5 linked regions of the Mus musculus genome follow. The protein of the gene in region 4 interacts with the protein of the main gene of each other region in a biochemical or structural test. Links are inferred from orthologs where the notes say so. Each region holds a gene or a part of one and is shown on either strand. Other genes may lie near its edges.

Region 1 (3,500 bases), on a different chromosome or scaffold from region 4:
AGTAGGGACATTTGTTCACCACAGAGAGTGTGACAGCCAATCCAGGCAGCAGCCATCTCTGATAGGGAATATCTCAAATACACATCAGAACAGGAGGGTGACCACAAACGATGGGCTCGAGGCCAGCATATGGAGACTATGAGGGAGAGCCAGGGGACAACAGGGTTAAGTCTGTATAAAGCACGGTGCCTGGTGTGCTCAGGGTAAGTCTTTGACCTATTCTTTTGTGCACACTGGTGGCATCGTGTTTATATATATGTACACCTTTGACTGTGTCCCTAGGCTATCTTCCAGGATGTCTCTGGGTGAGACCTGAATGTCGAAGAACCCAGTCTATAAATTCTGTAGACCTGAAGGCCCCAACTCTGTCCCCCAACTAACCTGTTAGGCCTCCCCAATGCCTCACCTGGCTGGCAGCAGCCTCAGCTGCAGGGCCTAGGTCTGGGTGGTGTTCAGAGTGACTTGCCCTGGGGGGTCTCTCCACAGGAGAGTTCCGACGACGGTAGAAGAGAACATAGGCATAGCGCGTCACGACCTGGCTTTCGTCTACTGTTGTCACCGTGCTGTCATCAAACAAGCGCCAGCCTAGAGCAGGGTGGGAAGAGTATGAACACGGCCTGGACCACCACCCTACCACCTATCCTGCTGGCTGTGTGTGCCCTCACCCACGTCACTGCGCTGGCTACTGCGATCATTGGGCAGCCGTGCACAAGCAGTATAGTGGCCACCGATCATGCCTCCGTAGTGGTTGATGACAGCATACAGGTCATAGCTAGGCAGCTGCTCCTCTTTCTGACCGATACAGAACTTGCTCAAGTCCAGGTTCCTGTAGTCCCAGTCAGAGAAGGGTGAGGCAGTTAGTTGGCGGGAGCCCAGGCTGCCCCGATACCTGTGCCCTGTCCACAGTCAGCAGGCCTCACTCATTGCTCACCGAACAGGAAACTCCACCAAGTCATTGATCTTGTCTCGCCAAATGAAACTACGAAAGGAGAAGCGCTTGAGCTGCACAATCAGCACGTTCGGTAGGCGCCACAACAGCAGCTGTTTGGAGGCCTCACGATGCTGTTTGCACTGTGGGCAGTACCTGTGAGCGACAGAGGAGGAGTCAGAAGCAGCAAGTTTCCCTCCACCATGGTCAACTACCTGCTTGCTGCCCAATCCTCACCAGGCCTCCTCAGGTGCCAGCACTTCAGGCCGTGTAAAGAGGTTGAGGCACTGGTCCAGGGTGAAGTGGCCAGCACGGGCAGCCTCACCAGCAGAGCCTGGATCTTCAGCACATTCCAGCTCCTTGGAGGCTACCAACACAAACTCCTGCAGGCGTTCATTGTTCCGCCACACCAGAGCCAGGCTACAGTCATCACCTAGCTCCAATGGTGTCTCCCCTAGAGAGAAGCAGGGACCATGGTCACATAGCTGCGCAGAGCAGGTGGTACAAGCTACCCTATGACTCCCACCCACAGCATCAGGCACCTTTGTCCTCCAGCCGCTGCTCACGGTTTGATGCATCAATTTTATAGATGAAGAACTGGGGCGTGTGGGTATTCACAGATTCACTTGAGTGTTGGTACCCAGGCACAGCAGCTAAGACAAAGCACACTCATCAGTGCTCACCTGTCCACTCTGGTGGGAACAGCCTTCCCAACACTTCAGTGCAGTACCCAAAGCATTTTAGCAGATCCTACCTTCAGGCCGAGATACCCTCTCACCAGCAAGCAAGGGACAACCTTCGATAGGCCCACTGGCCAGCATCTCAGAAGAGAGTCCACTGGTGCTAGGCACAGGACCCCTATCAGCAGGCGGCCATACTCGGTGAGCCCCTGTATCCCCTTCAGCCACAGGGGTCACCAGCTGGAGCTCAGAAGGCTGAATGGGTTCTCTTTCACTGTCCCCAGCCTCCAGAGAGCTGGTTGAAAGCAACGTGGTACAGCCAGGGCTCTGCGATTCCAAAGCCATGCGGCCAGGCTGGAAGGGCGGTTGGAATACACTCACAGAGTACCTGGCAGCAGACAGCAAGGCAAGTAAGAACTCTGACCCACTGGTGTCACACTTGGAACACCTGCTCCCTGTGTATACCAGTCCAGCCTCTGGGCTCTTACCGGGCATAACCTTCTAGTAGCTGAGCAAGACGGGCATAAGTGAGGCGTGAAGCAGGCACACTGACCAGGAAGGGGTAGCCAATGTTCTCAGGGCGGCAGAGGCCTTTGTGGTCAGGCCAATGGGTTTTCTGGCAGAACCTGGAGGGAAAGAAAAGGTTAGCCCTGAGTGCTGTAACTATATTATCAGGGACTTGTCTGATGCCCTTGGGGACTAGGTATGCCAGCCCTGCCTCCCCCAAGGCCCAATAAAACAGAGAAGTGGGTGGAGGGCTTGAGAAGGACAGGAAAGCAAAAGGCAGGTAGAGAAAATAGGAGGGGAGAGCCATGGGGCTCCTCACTGGTTGCAGTAGCCCACACGGTAGCAACGGGTACAGCGCTTCAGCTTTTCTTCTTCTGATTGCTGCTTCCGCTGGCAGGCTGCGCACTTGGAGATAGGGATGCTGGGTACCTGGGGGCGCTAGGGTGGGTCATCTGGCTCAGCAAGGGCAGGCAGCAGTGACTGCCCCCACCAGGGCCCTGTGGCATCAGGCTGGCCCCACTCACCTGCTGCACCTCCAGCACTACTACCCGCTCCTTAGCCAGTTCTGGGGAGAGCAGCTCAAAGCAGAGGAGCACGTCCGTGGGGGACACAGCGTCCAGTGAGTGGGAGGGCAAGAAAACACGGTGGAAACGGTTCTTAATTACCTGGGGAGAAAGGACACACATATGGCATGTGGTGCGACCTTTCTCCAGCTCTGCTTCACGGCACCACGGAGGGCTTAGTCCTGCACTGGAGTCTACTGAGATGGGGCAGGACATGATATGTGGACTAAAAGAGGAATATGCTTGCCCTGGGGCAGAAAGCACTTTAGAGAACCTGAGACAAAGCCTGAGCAGGCATCAACCTCACTGACCCTCCATAAGGAACGGAGGGCCTCTACCCCTGGGATTACTAGCAAACGCCTTATCCAGAGAAGAAAAAAATACATAAGTGCAGCACTTGGGAGGCAGAGGCAGGCGGATTTCTGAGTTCAAGGCCAGCCTGGTCTACAAAGTGAGTCAAGGACAGCCAGGGCTGCACAGAGAAACTCTGTCTCAAAAAAAAAGAAAAAAAGAAAAAGAAAAAAAGAAAAGGAAAAAAAGAATACATAAGTGGAACTGGAAAAATGGCTCAGTATTACAAGCACCGACTATTCTTCCAAAAGATCTGGGTTCCATTCTCAGCAAATACGTGGCAGCTTGTAACTGTCTATAACTCAAGTTCCATGCGGTTCAACACCCTTAACCTGACACCTGGCACATAACATACTACACACACATACATGCAGACAAGCAGACACAACACTCATAAAAATGTTTAAAAGAACAAAACACAAACAACTACAACCTCACAAACATGGCCACACATGCAGAAGCCTGGGAAGG
Region 2 (3,999 bases), about 75 Mb from region 4:
AGTTCCACAGTGGCTGGACCAGTTTACAACCACCCACAGTGATGCGGGTTCTTCTTCCTCCACAGCCTGGGCACCATTTGTTGTTCTTAGTTTTCTCGCTATCCTTTTCCTTGCTGTTGTGTATCCTCTCTTCTGATCTCTTTCTCAAATCTATAAAACACATCAGACTTCATCTCTATCTCTTCATGTCCAGCATCACCTACCTGACTCCCAAAATTCACTTCTCTGCCTCTATTCTTTGGTGGTTAACAGCGACCTTCCCTCTTCCTTTATCATCTCTGCTGTCTCTTTTCTCTCATCCCCATGGCTGTGCCATTGGTCTTGCAGCTGGTCGATTTCATCAATTTCCCAGCGATTCTCTCTTCCATCTGTTTTGTTCCTGAGTAACAGAATTTCCACCTTTTCCCACAGTGACTTTCCCAAGAAAGATGGAACATCATCTTCCAAATTACGCCTTTAAAAGCTCTCTGTTGTCTGCAGAATGAGACCCAATTTCTTCATTAAATCTTTATGATTTGTTCCTAGATTATCTTTTTTTTTTTTTTTCTTTTTCCTCCCATCAGCTCTACCGTACTACTAACAGAAACTCAGGTCTCTGGTCATAGTCTCAGTACCTACCCTCCAATTTCTCATGCTCTCAGCACTCCTGTGCTTCTTTCCTTCTCATCTTCCTGAAGTCTGATGGAGGAAACGATGTTTTATTGTCTTCTGTAGACATAAAATAAATGTGGGAGGGAAAAGGATTATAAAACTCGTAGCCTTCAAGACAACTAACTTTGCAGGGCATTTTTGAAGTTTTCCCCTTAGAATGCTCTCCAGTCGCAGTTATTTATCTACCAGCTCAATGTAAAATCTTTGTCAAAAATTAGATGACTCAACTCTAGGATGAGCTAAGCTCTTTGCCTGGTAAATCTTGATGTCTGGGTTACAAGGAATTTGCCTAGGCATAATGTGGCCTCACACCCCTTTTGAGGCTGGAAAACAGGTACTGGGCGAACACCACCCCACCCCCAGAACCTCGGACTGCAAGAAGTGTTGGGAGTCACTACGTCCTGCGTCATCACGTGCTGCGAAGAGGGTGGGGCCCTCCTGGGAACCGTGAGGGGCGGGGCCGAGCAGGTGGGGCGGGGCTGGAGCCCGGGGCGGAGCTGCGCGGGGTCGCGGCTGCGGAGGAGCGGGCTCGCGGCGGGCGGCAGCGTGTGTGTGCGCTCCCTTTGACGCTCGGTGCCCCACGCGTGTCCCGGAGAGGCTCAGCCCGGAGCGACCCGGAGGACGAACTGGTGGACGGACTCGGGGGTGGCTGCCAGGCAGGGTTGTGAGCGACGCCGCGGCACAGCGCGGGAGCCGGGAAGCCCTAGAGCACTGCGGCCCCTCCTGACCCTCGGGACCGGGCGCGGCTAGCGTGCGGGTTTCTCCTCCGCGGCCAGCTCGGGCAGCCCGAGTCTCCTCTGTCGCCCGCACCTGCGCGTCGCGGTCGTCCCGCCCTCGGCGGCGGCTCACCTGGGCGCAGCGCGGGCAGGGCGCCGCCTCCGGGACGCAGGTGGAGCGGGCAGGGCGCGGGCACCATGAGCAGCGGCGCCAACATCACCTATGCCAGCCGCAAGCGGCGCAAGCCGGTGCAGAAAACGTGAGTGACGGCGGGCAGGCGCGCTCCGAGGGTGCGGGAGGTCCCCACGCGTGCCGCCATCCAGGAGCTGAGTCTCAACCAATGCGTTAAAAAAAAAAAAATCCTGCTTTCAGGCACCTGCACCTTTACTGCTCAGCGACCTTCCCTGGCTGGTTCGTTGACAGCTCTGACCTACCTAGTGCCGCTCTAGCTTAGTTAGTTAAGCTTGCCTGGAAATCCTCCACTCTAGATCTCCGCTGCCGTGAGCTTTAGGGGACACGGAGGATAAGTAGACAGCTCACTGAGGTGAGATGTTGGGCAGAGCTAAACACGTGTTGTCTTGAAGGAGGGGACCTGTGCCTTTGAAGGAATGTCTTTCTGTTCTTAGCGCCTAGCTTTCTGTTTTGCTCTCTCATTTACTTCCTAGGCAGCAGTTCTGCAGGGCTCGGTGTAGGCGCAGAATTGATAGCAGGTTGGAGTGTGCAGTGGACAGGTGCCCTGGCAGCTTGGTGGCATTCTTAGCCACTCTTTGGTGCAGTTTTCTTCCTCCTTTTGGAGTGCTTTTGGGTCTGTAAAATTTTAAATCATTAAGAAGAGGAAAAAGAACTAGACTGACTTCTAAGTTATTTCTACTCTCTACCTGTAGTTCATTTCCCCTTGCTTTTTTTTTTTTTTTTTTTTTTTTTTTTTTTTTTTTTTTGCCAATTCTGACAGAGATTACAGGCTTTGGTCTTTATTTCCATGGGCTATTTGTATGAGATGGGAGATTTTTTTTCCCCCCTCAGAAAAGAGATTCATGATTGAGACAGGGTTCCATTTAGGAGTTGTCTGTATTGATGCATTCATTCATAATTACCTTGGAGTTTCCACATCTCACCATTTGTTATTTTTTTAAAAAAATAAATTATTTTAGGAACACTTTCAGGCAATCAGTAGTGTGTGTTTTGCTTGAAACATGACAGCTATCACCAAGTGAACCAAAAAAAGAAAACAAAAACAACAAAAAAACCAACTTAAGATTTATACACTGTTTACAAATAGTTACTAGCTTAGAAGTTGGGTTATTTGTGGATTTTAATTCCCCTTAAGAATTTCAACTGTCCTAGTTCCTCAAATCTTGACTTACAAATTAATATTGAGAGGAGATGTCCATGTGTAAATAGTTTGATCAGAATTTGGAAGTTTTATGGTTGGTACACTTTAAAGGACGCAAATGTCGTTGACTCAGCAGTTTTCTACCCCGGCAGTTCTTTGGACCCTGGCTTTCAGTGCTTTAGTATTTTGTAGGACGGTTTCTTTTTGTTAAAACATGTTTGCTCAATTTGACTTTGTTCCTGGCAGTTACAGTTTCCGAGGCTTTCAAGTGCTTGTTCCCTGTTTTCATTAATAGTAATACTAACTCAGTATGAGATGAAAAATCTCAGGTATTATGTACATGGGCATAAAACTTGGAGCTCCGCTTGAGTGTCTAAGTCTAAGTAACTGATTTTCCTTATGTTATTTAAGGACATAAACTGCTTTCTATACAAAGGTCACCATCTTAAATGTTATTCATTATAACGGCGAGTGCTCTTAGTTTCTAGTTAATATAGAGAGCTTCCTTTTTAACACGACAACACTTCCTTTTAGATTAAGTTACACCTTTTATTATATTGTCTCACTATTTGCATTTGATAATTTCGGACAACTAAACTGTTGTCCCCACGAACTTATATTTTATTTTATTTGGTCCTTGACTTCTGTTTATCAGATCTGTACTGAACACCTTTAATCAACTCTGAGCCTTCAAATGCCTTAAAGGTCACCAGCTTGCTTTGTCGAAGACTTTAGTGCTGGCACTTAGGTCCTTTAGTGAAAGTACTTACGTTGTCCCCCCTGAACAGAAAATAGTGAGCTGTATAATCACATAATCAAAGTTCACCCTTAACAACCAGGTCACCAAGCTTTAGTATGAGTCTTTAAGTTAAACTACTTAGCCTGTGTGCAATGAGGCCCCAAATACCTCAATTTCAGGAAAAAACACAAGTGTTGACTGTGCTTTCTAATTTAATTAACTTGTACCCTTTAAGGTATAGCTGTTTTATACGGAGCATACCCATTGTAATTCTAGTGTCGAAAAATGTCATATTTAAATATACAGTTCCGTGAAAATTTGGAGTAAAGTGGGTGACATGATTTTAACCCGAAGTTCTTTCAGTCTTCAAATGAGGATCTAGATGCAAAATAAGCCCCCTCTAGTGGCCGGTCCCACCATGACAGTTATCTGTAGAAGGAAATCAGTTTGAAATGTGTTCAATTCCATCCAAGGACAGTGTTTTGTATACACTACACTGTGAATAGCTGTTTCCTCCTTCTTCAGTGCAATGAAAGTTAGGAAATTAAGAGATCCTAAG
Region 3 (4,173 bases), on a different chromosome or scaffold from region 4:
CAAACAAACAAACAAACAAACAAATAAATATTTTTTAAAATTTAAGGGCAGATCTGGTGTAGTGGGGCACACCTTTAGCCCCAGCACTGGGGAGAAGAGGTAGAAAGATCTGTTAGTTTGAAGTCAGCCTGGTCTACATAGTGAATTCCAAGACAGCCAGAGCTGTCTTATATACAGTGAGACTCTGGTGGGGGTGGGGGTGGGGTGGGAATTAAGGGCAAACATGATTAAAAAAAACAAATTGTATATTAATGTTTTGTCTGCAAGTATATCTGTCCACCACATGCATGCCTGGTGTAGTCAAAGGCCAAATGGGGACATAATATATATATCCTGGGTTGGACTTACAGATGGGTGTGAGTGGCCATGTAGGTGTTGGGAACAGAATCCGGGTGCTCTGGAAGACCAGCCAGTCTCCAAACTATTGAGCCAACTTTCCAGCCTCAATTTTGACTTTTTTTTTTCCATTTTTTATTAGGTATTTAGCTCATTTACATTTCCAATGCTATACCAAAAGTCCCCCATACCCACCCACCCCCACTCCCCTACCCACCCACTCCCCCTTTTTGGCCCTGGCGTTCCCCTGTACTGGGGCATATAAAGTTTGCGTGTCCAATGGGCCTCTCTTTCCAGTGATGGCCGACTAGGCCATCTTTTGATACATATGCAGCTAGAATCAAGAGCTCCGGGGTACTGGTTAGTTCATAATGTTGTTCCACCTATAGGGTTGCAGATCCCTTTAGCTCCTTGGGTACTTTCTCTAGCTCCTCTATTGGGAGCCCTGTGATCCATCCATTAGCTGGCTGTGAGCATCCACTTCTGTGTTTGCTAGGCCCCGGCATAGTCTCACAAGAGACAGCTACATCTGGGTCCTTTCGATAAAATCTTGCTAGTGTATGCAATGTTGACTTTTTTTTTTTAGAGTGTTGTTTGTATAACAACCCTGACCGTCCCTAAAATTACTCTGTAGGCTAGGCTGGCCTCGATCCGCCGGCCTCTGCCTCCGGAGTACTGGCATAGCGCCACTACCGCCCAGCCAATTTTGACTTTTTGACAGTGTCAATATGTAGCCCTGGCTGGACTAGAACTCCTGGAGAGCCACCTGCTTTTGCCTCTAGCGTACTTGGATTACCGTGGGCCACCACGCCCAACGCGACTAACCTTTTGTTTCTAAAGGATGGTCAGTCTGGTTTCGGCGGGAACTTCCAGAAGGCCTCACCACATACTCCTGGCCCTTTAAAGAAGACCTCCGGTTGCCAATGCCGCCGACTCCCGTTGCTAAGGACGTAACGTCCCGCGCCGACGCTGGGGCGGGGCCGTCCTGCGCGGCGCCCTGGGCGGAAGCGGAAGGGGCGGGGCTCGCCGAGCGGACTCTCTAGCCCTTGTGGGTCCCTGTTCAGCGCCCGGCCGTGTGGAGCCCCGGGAGCCAGTCCGGGCCTCCGAAGCGAAGATGGTGGACTACAGCGTTTGGGATCACATCGAGGTGTCGGACGATGAGGACGAGACGCACCCCAACATAGACACTGCCAGCCTCTTCCGCTGGCGGCACCAGGTGGGGCTGTGCGCGCTCATCCCCTTCCCCCCCACTCCCGGGACCCCCCGCTCTAGAGTTCTGACCTCTTCCCCAGGCCACCTGGCGTGGGGGCGGGGGAGACCTTAGTTATTGACATCTGGAGCCGCCTGCTCCACAATCTAGACTTTTCTCTTTCTTTTCTTTTCTTTTTCTTTTTTTTTTTTTTTGAAACAAAATTTCACTGTGTAACCTTCCCTGGCCTAGAACTTGCTGTGTAGAACAGGCTGGTTTCTAACTCACAGTGATCCTCCTGCCTCTGCCTTCCCAGTACTGGGATTAGAGACATGTGCCTTCATGCAGGGCCGGACTTTTTAATTCCATCCCAGGACTCCTGGCTTCTTCACCGTAATTCTTGACCTGTATCTCCAGGCGTTCTCTCTGTGCTATGGTTCTCTTCTGTTTGTAAGTTTATTTATTGTGTGTGTTCCCGTGTGCACGTGGCACAGCATGCCTATGGTGATCACAGGATAACTTGTAGAAGTTGGGCCTCTCTTTTCACCATGTTGGAACTGGCTGTGGAACTCCAGTCGCCCCACGTTGCCACAAGCACCTTTACACTCTGAGCCATTTTATCAGTTGGTAATACTTTAGTCAGAGTCTTGCCTCTCCCCATCCCCAAGCTGACCCTTGTGTGTAGGGTCCCCACTATCCTGTGCAGAACCTTCTGTTCTTCCTCAGAGTCTGGACCCCAGGTTCTGTTAGGTGATCTCATAGCCCAGCCACGCACCCACTTCATATTGCACGTCTCCCTTCTGCCTCTCCTCACTACTTAGAGTCTGGAGCCACAAAACTTCTGACTATGGCATCTATTTCCCAGGATCTTAGGCATGAATTTCTATTAAAGGCCCAGAGACGACCCCCTCCCCCCCCAACTTCCAAACTAAATGAGCCCTTAATTTAACTGTCAATCTTAGCTTGCAGCTGGGATTCCCCAGTCCAGGATCCCTTTCCCTGGGTTATAGACTTGAGTCCCACATGGGACATACCTGTAGAGCCCCCTTATCCTCTGTATTTGACCTCCATCTCCACTCTTGCCCATCATTCAGTTCCAGTGGCTCTCCTTATTCTCACCTCCTGTAGACTCTTATTTCCTGTTACTCCAGGAAACCCCACCCACCTAACTTCCTGTTAGAACCTCTGCTCCTTCTAGTATAGTAAGTAGACCCTCTCCTTCCCACCTTGGCTCCTATATGAACTGTAGCCATCTTTGAAAATTCACCAAACCAGGAGCCAGATGATGATGACACACATTTTTAATCCTAGCTCTCAGGGGGCAGAGGCAGGCAGGCCTGTGAGTTCAAGGCCAACCTGGTCTACAGAGAGTTCTACAGCTAGCTAGGGCTACACAGAGAAACCCTGTCTGGAGGGATGGGGCCGGGAGTCGGGTAGGATAAAGAGAGGGGGGAGGGGAGGAAGAGAAAGAAAAGACAGCTCACCAACCCAGAAAACCAAGCCTGTCCTGTCCTACCTGCCCGTTCCCTCCAGCTTCATCTGTCTCTCTCCAGGGTTCAGAGCATCCTAGTTAACTCTGGACCTCCCAGATAATGTTCCCACATAACCTTACTTTCTGAGCATGGTAGCACACCTGTAAACTCAGGTCTTAGGAGGAGGACGAGGAAGGAGGATCTGGGATTCAGAGTCAGTCCTCGATATAGGGCAAATTCTAGGCTAGCCTGGACTACATGAGACAATATCAAAAACCAAATGGGCTGGAGTTCAGTTGTATGGCATTGCCTTGGGCTCCATCTCTAGCACTGCTTAAAAACTAGCCATGGTGGGGCAGGCCTGTAGTCTGAGCACTGGGGAGAGGGAAGCAGGAGGGTCAGAAGTTCAAAGTCGTCAGCCACGGTAAGTGTGAGGCTGGCACAGGCTACAGGGGATCCTGTCAACCACCAAGCAAATAAAATACAGTCCTCTGCAGTTTTACATCTCTCCAAAACAGACGCCCCAGATTGAGACCTTAGAACCCCAAGTGTGAGCAAGCCATGCTCTTGCCCCTCCCTTGTGCCATCATTACCTGCAGGCCTGTAGCATACTACCAAGATGTGAGGGTGGCCTGGATGTGTGGTTCAGTGGTAGAGTACTTCTCTAGCGTGCAAGAGGTACTGGGTTCCAACTCTGTCGCAGCAGTAAAGAGACAATGGCCTAACCTGCTCCCCAAATTAAAACTTCTATACCCATATACCTGTGTGTCTTATACTCTTTGTTTAAGTTACATCTTAATTTTTTTGTGTGTGTTAATTCTTATGTATGTGTGCCGAGGTATCCTTGTGGCAGTCAAAGGATAACTTGATAGAGTCCACTTTCTCCTTACATGTGGGTTCTTGGGATCAAACTCAAGTCATCAGGCTTGGTAGCAGGCCTTTTCCCACTGAGTCCTCTCATTGGCCCCTGTGCTTGTTATACTCTCAAGCTGAGGGCAGGTACTTTCCATTTAGGAATTTTGCATCTCACCTTCTTGGGGAAAACTTCTCATTACTCCTAGAAAGTCCTTCCCCATCCTCCCCAAATCCAGCATTCGGCTCCCAGTCCCACCCACACACCTATTCCTTCCAGTTTCCTGGGAAGACCACCTGCCAGGCAGCAGTGTGTGGCAGCAG
Region 4 (2,860 bases):
AAATGCTTAGAACTATTTACTGAACTAGCAGAAGATAAAGAGAACTACAAAAAGTTTTATGAGCAGTTCTCAAAAAATATAAAGGTTGGTGGTACATTTTCTTGTTACTGGCAGTTTTCCAAACTAACTTGATTGGGGGAGGGGTCCTCACACACTTGCTTCTGCCTCCCAAGTGTGGGGATTAAAGGCTAATGCTTCATAAATGGCTTTCCTGTGCTTGTGCTTCAGCTTGGAATTCACGAGGACTCTCAGAATCGGAAGAAGCTTTCAGAGCTGTTGCGGTACTACACATCTGCTTCTGGGGACGAGATGGTTTCTCTGAAGGACTACTGTACCAGAATGAAGGAAAACCAGAAGCACATCTATTTTATCACAGGTAATGGTCAAGTAAACAGGTGTTTTCTCTACCTGTTGGACAGCACTTAAGGAGGCAAGAATGTCCAGCCTGTACCTAAGGGAAAGCTGAATACATGAAACCATTTCTAAAAGTAACTTAACAATATAAATATATATATTGTCTCAGGTGAGACCAAGGACCAGGTTGCTAACTCCGCCTTTGTGGAACGTCTCCGAAAGCATGGCTTAGAAGTAATTTATATGATTGAGCCCATTGATGAGTATTGTGTGCAACAGCTGAAGGAATTTGAGGGCAAGACCTTGGTGTCTGTTACCAAAGAAGGACTGGAACTTCCAGAAGATGAAGAGGAAAAGAAGAAACAGGAAGAGAAAAAGACAAAATTTGAGAACCTCTGCAAAATTATGAAAGATATTTTGGAGAAGAAGGTTGAAAAGGTATGTGAATGGTTACACATCACTCGTAGTCAGTTTGGTCCTTTTATCTGAGTTTTGACTAAATCACTGCTAATGCCTACAGTTTCAAATAATCATTTCTTTCTGGTAAGTTCTTCTATGGCCTAAGCCATCACTTAGTTTTTGTTTTAATTTTAGGTGGTTGTGTCAAACCGACTGGTGACATCCCCGTGCTGTATTGTCACAAGCACATATGGGTGGACAGCAAACATGGAGAGAATCATGAAAGCTCAAGCCCTCAGAGACAACTCAACAATGGGTTACATGGCAGCAAAGAAACACCTGGAGATAAATCCTGATCACTCCATTATTGAAACCTTAAGGCAAAAGGCAGAGGCTGACAAGAATGACAAATCTGTGAAGGATCTGGTCATCTTGCTGTATGAAACTGCACTCCTATCTTCTGGCTTCAGTCTGGAAGATCCCCAGACCCATGCTAACAGGATCTACAGGATGATCAAGCTTGGTCTAGGTAAATTACAGGCTACCTGTAACTAACATAAGGGAAAGAAACCTGTTGCAACTCCCCTTTAATCCTAGTGCTGGGGTCAGGGTGTAAAGGGACAGATAGGCCCTTTGAGTTTTAGGCCAGTGTGGCCTACAGAGTTCCAGGAAAACCAAAGCTATATATACTAACCCTGGCTTTAAAAACAAAAAAACGAAGTTGACTTTTGTAGCTATTGAAACAATTGGATTATTGCTGTTATGGAAGCCTCAGCTAAAGGGTTTGAATGAAATGAACAGTGACCTTTGTGTTTGAGGATGGCTTTGGGCTGGTTCTGCCTCTGTCCCAGTGCTGGGGTTTATAGGCACATACTTGGCTTGCCCCCTATGAATAAAGTTTCCTTTCAGGGGATTGGATGGGGTGTTAATGTCTAAAGCAAGTCTCCGCCTCCCTTAGCGGACATTAACTGTAACATTTATTTCCAAAACAAGGTATTGATGAGGATGATCCTACTGTGGATGACACCAGTGCTGCTGTAACTGAAGAAATGCCTCCCCTGGAAGGAGATGACGACACATCACGCATGGAAGAAGTAGACTAAGTCACCAGAACTATGTGTTTGCTTACCTTCATTCCTTCTGATAATATATTTTCCATGATTTTTGTTTATTTTTGTTAACATTTAAAACATCTGTGTGGCATGAAAACTAAGGGGAAGATAAAATTTCTACATGTGATACTGTGATACTATAGGTTTAACTCAAGAGGTTGATAGAGCGTTTGTTATAAGACGTAACGTAACCTACTGTTCATGTTTGCTCTGGTCTGAAGTGTTTAGCTGTTGAGCTGGATTCCTTAGGAGACCAAATTAAGATGGCTTAAATTACATCTTAAAATTTTCATTTCCTGTAGTTAATTCTGCATGTATTAGTCTTAGAAGTAAACACAAGTTAAAACAACCTGACAGGAATTCCCCAAGTGGCTTGTTTTCCAAAGTCCCGAGAACAACCCTAAGTTTCCTAGGTCTTGTAACTCAGCAAGGCTTGTGAATGGAAATAACAGTGCCCAATCACATTCTGCTTTAAAAGATAAATACAGAGGAGATAAAAAGAAGTGTGGAATGTGTCTTTTCTTTGCGCACCCCCACACACACACACACATTTGATCCATAAAAATTACACTGGTCCAGAGACTTAATCTTGTGTGTCCTATATGTGGACATCCTCTCTTCCCCAGCACACTCAGACCTTCTTGCTAGAGTGGGAATATAAAACAGCTGGTCTGTGGGGTTCTGGGATTTTGTCCTAGCACCTCTTAGATAAAGGCATGTTTGAAGACTTGGCTGGGTAGTTTGAGGCCAGCCTGAGTTCCATGAAATCCTGTCTTGGAGGCTATAAGGAAAAATAGTGGGTATTTACTATAGGGGGCAGGTAAAGAGCACTAACCAAAGCCGGGCGGTGGTGGTGCACGCCTTTAATCCCGGCAGGCGGATTTCTGAGTTCTAGGCCAGCCAGGGCCATAAGGAGAAACCAAACCAAAAAAAAGATTGGGTTGTAGGCGGCCCTATAAGACATTAATAAGTTGATGAGCTCATTGTAGGTGGTG
Region 5 (4,058 bases), on a different chromosome or scaffold from region 4:
CCTCTTTAACCCTGTAGAATGACCATTTTAAAAAGACCAGGTATCTGACCTCTTCAAAATGTGCACAATGGTGCAAACCTGGTCCACACAGAAACCTCATCACAAAAAACAAAAATAAATGAGATGTGTGCACACTATATAGACCTATCTGGCCTTGATCTTATATAATCCCAATATATAATCCTATTGGGTTCACCTATAATCCCAAATAATTAGGAAGTGGAGGGAAAGAGTAGGAGTTCAAGGGGGATCCTCCCACATATTGGGAGGTTAGGCCACCTAGGGCAGCATAGACGCTTTCTCAAAAAACAATCCCTTTAAAGAAGGTAATAGGATCAGGAGTTGTACACCTTTAATCCTAGAACTCAGGGAGGCAGAGGCAGGTGTATCTCCAGCCCAAGTTCCAGGATAGCCAGAGCTACACAGGGAGAACTTGTCTCAAAAAAAAAAAAAAAAAAAAAGCTGGGCGTGGTGGTGCACGCCTTTATTCCCAGCACTCAGGGGGCAGGCGGATTTCTGAGTTCAAGGCCAGCCTGGTCTACACAGAGAAACCCTGTCTCAAAAAACCAAAAAAAAAAAAAAAACCTAAAAATCAAAACAGACAAAAACAAACAAGAGCACCCACACACACAAAGGTTGGAAAGATGGCTCAAGGGTTAAAAGCGCTGGCTGCTCTTCCAGAGGACCCAGGGTTCTAGCCCCAGCACCCACATGGTGATTCACAAACCTCTAGCTCCAGGGTATCCAACATTCTCTTCAGGCCTGGCCTCTAGCAGTGCAGATGATACACAAACATACAGACAAAACATCCACACCACACTGCTCTTGCTTCTACAAGAGCACCCAAGCAGGGTGGCTCACAACTGCCTCTAACTCCAGATTCAGAACTAACACCTCTGCTCTCAGCAGGCAGTTGGTTCTGGTAATAGAACTTGGGTTCTCAGCAAGGGTAGCCAGTGCTGTTAATCACTGCGCAGTCTCTCTACCTCCTAAATTGCTACTTCTGGATGAAAAGATGTTTCGTTTGGCTATGTTTATCTACTAAATTGATTATGTTTTACCTAGCAATTCATTTTCCCCGTACAGTTTGGAAAATATCAAAAAGTTTTTACATAAACTTGTCCTAAGAAGCCAACATGACATCAGAATACAGGTCAGTCACACACAAGAGCTTTTTCTTAACATCTCAAAGGTAAAATTTAAATCCATGCTGGTGAGATGGCTAAGCAAGTGAAGGCTCTCCGTTTCTCTACCTGACAACTTAAATTGTTTCCCCACAGACTGTCCTCTTACCTCCAGGAACACGAGGGGGTGGGGGGAGGGCACACACATGAATAAAATTACTATAATGAAACACTAAAATGTAAAACCTGCTACATATCTTTGTTTTTATGGGGGACTCCTCCAAATTTCTTTACACATTTTCTAGTACTACATGGTCTTCTTCTAGGACCTGTTTCTCAGCCACTAATTGGCTCTAGGACATCGTCTATCAATTTAGATTTTTAGCCATTCAAGCAAGCAGTTAAAACTTAAACTTGTACAATCGTTAAACTTTTTTTTTCAACTACAATCCGTAACTTTTAGTGCTGTGCATAGCAGCCACCCACACCACCCTCAAGTACTGTAATTCAATTCTCTCATATTTGAAAGTTGTCCAGGCTAGAAAAATAAGGGCAAAAATTCTTAGATTAAAAGAATCTGTAACCTCCATATAAACAAATTAAGACCTTCAGGCAAGTGAGATGGTCATTTTATACCTGTTTCACCTCCGCATACAAAGAGCATGACGAAATGCCACCCAAAGTTTATTGAGGTACAGAGAAGAAAAGAGTCCACAAGTATCTTGTGACTAGACACGTGCAGAACTACCTGCTCCATAGTAACTATTACTCGCTGCCAAGGAGGTGACCGCATTTGCTAGCGTTCACCATTTTCAAGAGACCCGAGATGTGGGAACGGGAAGTTTCGTTGTGGTGACGGCATGGCCCCCTCTAGTTGCCTAGCAGTGCCTGCCGCCGAGGGCCGCGTGGTGCCCTACCGGTAGCACCGGCTTACGGCGGCACCCACAAATGCTCTCAGCCCGGTCCTGCCGGGTCCGGGCATCAGCACCGAGCGGCAGGACTCCACGGCTCCCGGCGCCCTCATGGCGGAAAGCTCACACACGAGTTTAGGGCCTAAGGCTAAGTTCCCAGAGTTCCGAGAGAGCCAGGCTGTCTAGGGAAGAAAAGTGGGATTTCTGGCACGAGGAATCCGGGGGTCGATCTGGAGGTGGGGAAACGGACATCTGGAGGAAAAATGTCCTCCAACGGTAACAGGAACAAGGATGCAGGCCCTCCCACCCCACGGCAGGGCTGCCACCAGCGCGGGCGGGGAGAAAGGCGAAGGGCCGAGGGTGGGGGGAGGGCGAGGGGCCGTTTCCCGGCAGCCGGGGCTCCCGGCGCGGCCTCGCTCCGCTCCGGGACGACCTTCCGTCGGCGGGATGTCGCACTCACATGGTGAACGGGGCAGAGGGCCAGACAAACGGGTGGGCGGGCCTCGCTGGCGGCGGCTGGCGAGTCGACTCCTCTCCGGCGGCGACTCCGGCGGTCTCTGCCCGGTCGCGGCCTCTCCTCGCTCCTCTTAGGCGACGGCGGCGGCGGGCTCGGCCTCGATGCCCAGAATGCACCGCGCGGAGAGCGGCTCCCTCAACCCGGGAGAGAAGGAAAGTGTAGGAAAAGGGGCGCGAGGACGGAGAAGGAGCGTGCGTGCGCGCGAGGGGTGGCGAGGCCGGGCGGCGGCTGGTGACGCAGCAAAATGCCCGGGCCGGCCGCCGCGCGTGCGCAATCGCCGTTTCCAGGCTCTGCGCGGTTTTCTAGAGATCTCTACGGAAGGGGCGGGGCCTCCCGGCTCCTTCGCGATCCTTCCCGCGCCCGCCCCTCCCCTCGACCCTCCGGCTGCCCCGTTCGCGCCTGTCTTCCCGGGCTCCGGTCTCGCGTTAGCAAGCCGTTGGCCGCCAACCGCCTGAGCACGCTCGCGGGCGATCTCCCCGAGAGACGTAGGGGCCGCCCTGGAAGGCGGTGGGACGCTGCGGCGTATACAGCAGACCCCAAGGCGATGTGTGGGGATTGTTTTGTCTTAGACAGGGGTGCCTGCCGCAAACCCAGGTTGGCCTCGAGTTCAGTCGCCCGAGTCCGGGATTGCAGTCCTGTGCCAAAGCCACCACGCCCGGCAACGCCGGTTGCATCCGTGGAAAAACGGCTTCGTCCTTAAAGCCTGGACCACTCGCTGTTTTTCTGATTGTCCGGATCCCGCCTGGGCTCCTTTAGCGGAGGAGCTGCTTTTGCCTCTTTGCCTTTAGGGGCGCGCCTCTCCCCCCTGCTTGGAGACATTGGCGCCCTGGGGGAGGCGAGGAGGGAAGTTTCTAGATTAATTCGCTGTCTCCTTGCGTGAGTTCAGATGAGGTGGTTAAGGATCTATTTGAAAATCCTTTGACTGGTTTTGTATACAATGCCCTGGGTTAAATGGGGTTAGTAGCCAAGAACAATCTCTGCTTATCAAAAACTGACGGATTAGGGCAGAGGTAGACCAATGAGCCACTATTAGGACATCAGGTTTTTAGAGTAATCCTGCTTCAGTCTCTTATGTGCTGGTATTACAGGCTTTTTTCTTTTGATATTGATGTCAGTGCAGACTAATTGGTGATGTTGGCTGTATAGTCCAGATCCAATTGCCTGATGTTAAGAACTTTACCACCTGTCAGGGAAATGAAAATTAGTCTGGTGTAGTGTCACAGGCTTGTAATCTCAGCTGAAGGAGCTGGGACAACTTGGTAGTGTGGGCAACTTCCCTGTTTCAAATTTCCATTTTTTCCCGAGGTGATGTAAGTATTCTGTCAACAATTATGTATGTGTACCGTGTGTGTGCCTGATTCCCACACAGAGGTCAAAAATAGGGCCTGAGATCCTTTGAAACTAGATCATGTGAACCATGTAGGTTCTGGGAATAGAACCTATGTCTTTAAGAGCACCCAGTGTTCTGACTGCTGAACCATTAACTCCAGTTCCCTCAAAATTCGA

Evidence for each region. The genes of interacting proteins can lie anywhere in the genome.
Region 1: the proteins of Hsp90aa1 (region 4) and Usp19 form a complex in vitro, tested with the Homo sapiens proteins (3 studies listed by BioGRID). The link is inferred for Mus musculus from reciprocal best matches to the Homo sapiens genes HSP90AA1 and USP19.
Region 2: the proteins of Hsp90aa1 (region 4) and Ahr form a complex in vitro, tested with the Homo sapiens proteins (2 studies listed by BioGRID). The link is inferred for Mus musculus from reciprocal best matches to the Homo sapiens genes HSP90AA1 and AHR.
Region 3: the proteins of Hsp90aa1 (region 4) and Cdc37 form a complex in vitro, tested with the Homo sapiens proteins (3 studies listed by BioGRID, with this or other methods). The link is inferred for Mus musculus from reciprocal best matches to the Homo sapiens genes HSP90AA1 and CDC37.
Region 5: the proteins of Hsp90aa1 (region 4) and Ptges3 form a complex in vitro, tested with the Homo sapiens proteins (10 studies listed by BioGRID). The link is inferred for Mus musculus from reciprocal best matches to the Homo sapiens genes HSP90AA1 and PTGES3.

Annotation. Positions count from the first base shown.
Region 1 is NC_000075.6:108,497,176-108,500,675, reverse strand, and holds part of Usp19 (ubiquitin carboxyl-terminal hydrolase 19), read right to left. Parts: intron 2,781-3,500; coding exon 2,640-2,780; intron 2,554-2,639; coding exon 2,435-2,553; intron 2,235-2,434; coding exon 2,097-2,234; intron 1,997-2,096; coding exon 1,683-1,996; intron 1,582-1,682; coding exon 1,471-1,581; intron 1,383-1,470; coding exon 1,166-1,382; intron 1,085-1,165; coding exon 932-1,084; intron 827-931; coding exon 666-826; intron 586-665; coding exon 407-585; intron 1-406. UniProt on the Homo sapiens protein: Deubiquitinating enzyme that regulates the degradation of various proteins by removing ubiquitin moieties, thereby preventing their proteasomal degradation. Stabilizes RNF123, which promotes CDKN1B degradation and contributes to cell proliferation.
Region 2 is NC_000078.6:35,532,190-35,536,188, reverse strand, and holds the start of Ahr (aryl hydrocarbon receptor), read left to right. Parts: upstream 1-1,199; 5' UTR 1,200-1,565; coding exon 1,566-1,627; intron 1,628-3,999. UniProt on the Homo sapiens protein: Ligand-activated transcription factor that enables cells to adapt to changing conditions by sensing compounds from the environment, diet, microbiome and cellular metabolism, and which plays important roles in development, immunity and cancer.
Region 3 is NC_000075.6:21,147,135-21,151,307, reverse strand, and holds the start of Cdc37 (hsp90 co-chaperone Cdc37), read left to right. Parts: upstream 1-1,373; 5' UTR 1,374-1,450; coding exon 1,451-1,552; intron 1,553-4,173. UniProt on the Homo sapiens protein: Co-chaperone that binds to numerous kinases and promotes their interaction with the Hsp90 complex, resulting in stabilization and promotion of their activity. Inhibits HSP90AA1 ATPase activity.
Region 4 is NC_000078.6:110,690,536-110,693,395, reverse strand, and holds the end of Hsp90aa1 (heat shock protein HSP 90-alpha), read left to right. Parts: coding exon 1-84; intron 85-228; coding exon 229-376; intron 377-523; coding exon 524-792; intron 793-948; coding exon 949-1,282; intron 1,283-1,746; coding exon 1,747-1,856; 3' UTR 1,857-2,360; downstream 2,361-2,860. UniProt on the Homo sapiens protein: Molecular chaperone that promotes the maturation, structural maintenance and proper regulation of specific target proteins involved for instance in cell cycle control and signal transduction.
Region 5 is NC_000076.6:128,057,724-128,061,781, reverse strand, and holds the start of Ptges3 (prostaglandin E synthase 3), read right to left. Parts: upstream 2,801-4,058; 5' UTR 2,498-2,800; coding exon 2,496-2,497; intron 1-2,495. UniProt on the Homo sapiens protein: Cytosolic prostaglandin synthase that catalyzes the oxidoreduction of prostaglandin endoperoxide H2 (PGH2) to prostaglandin E2 (PGE2).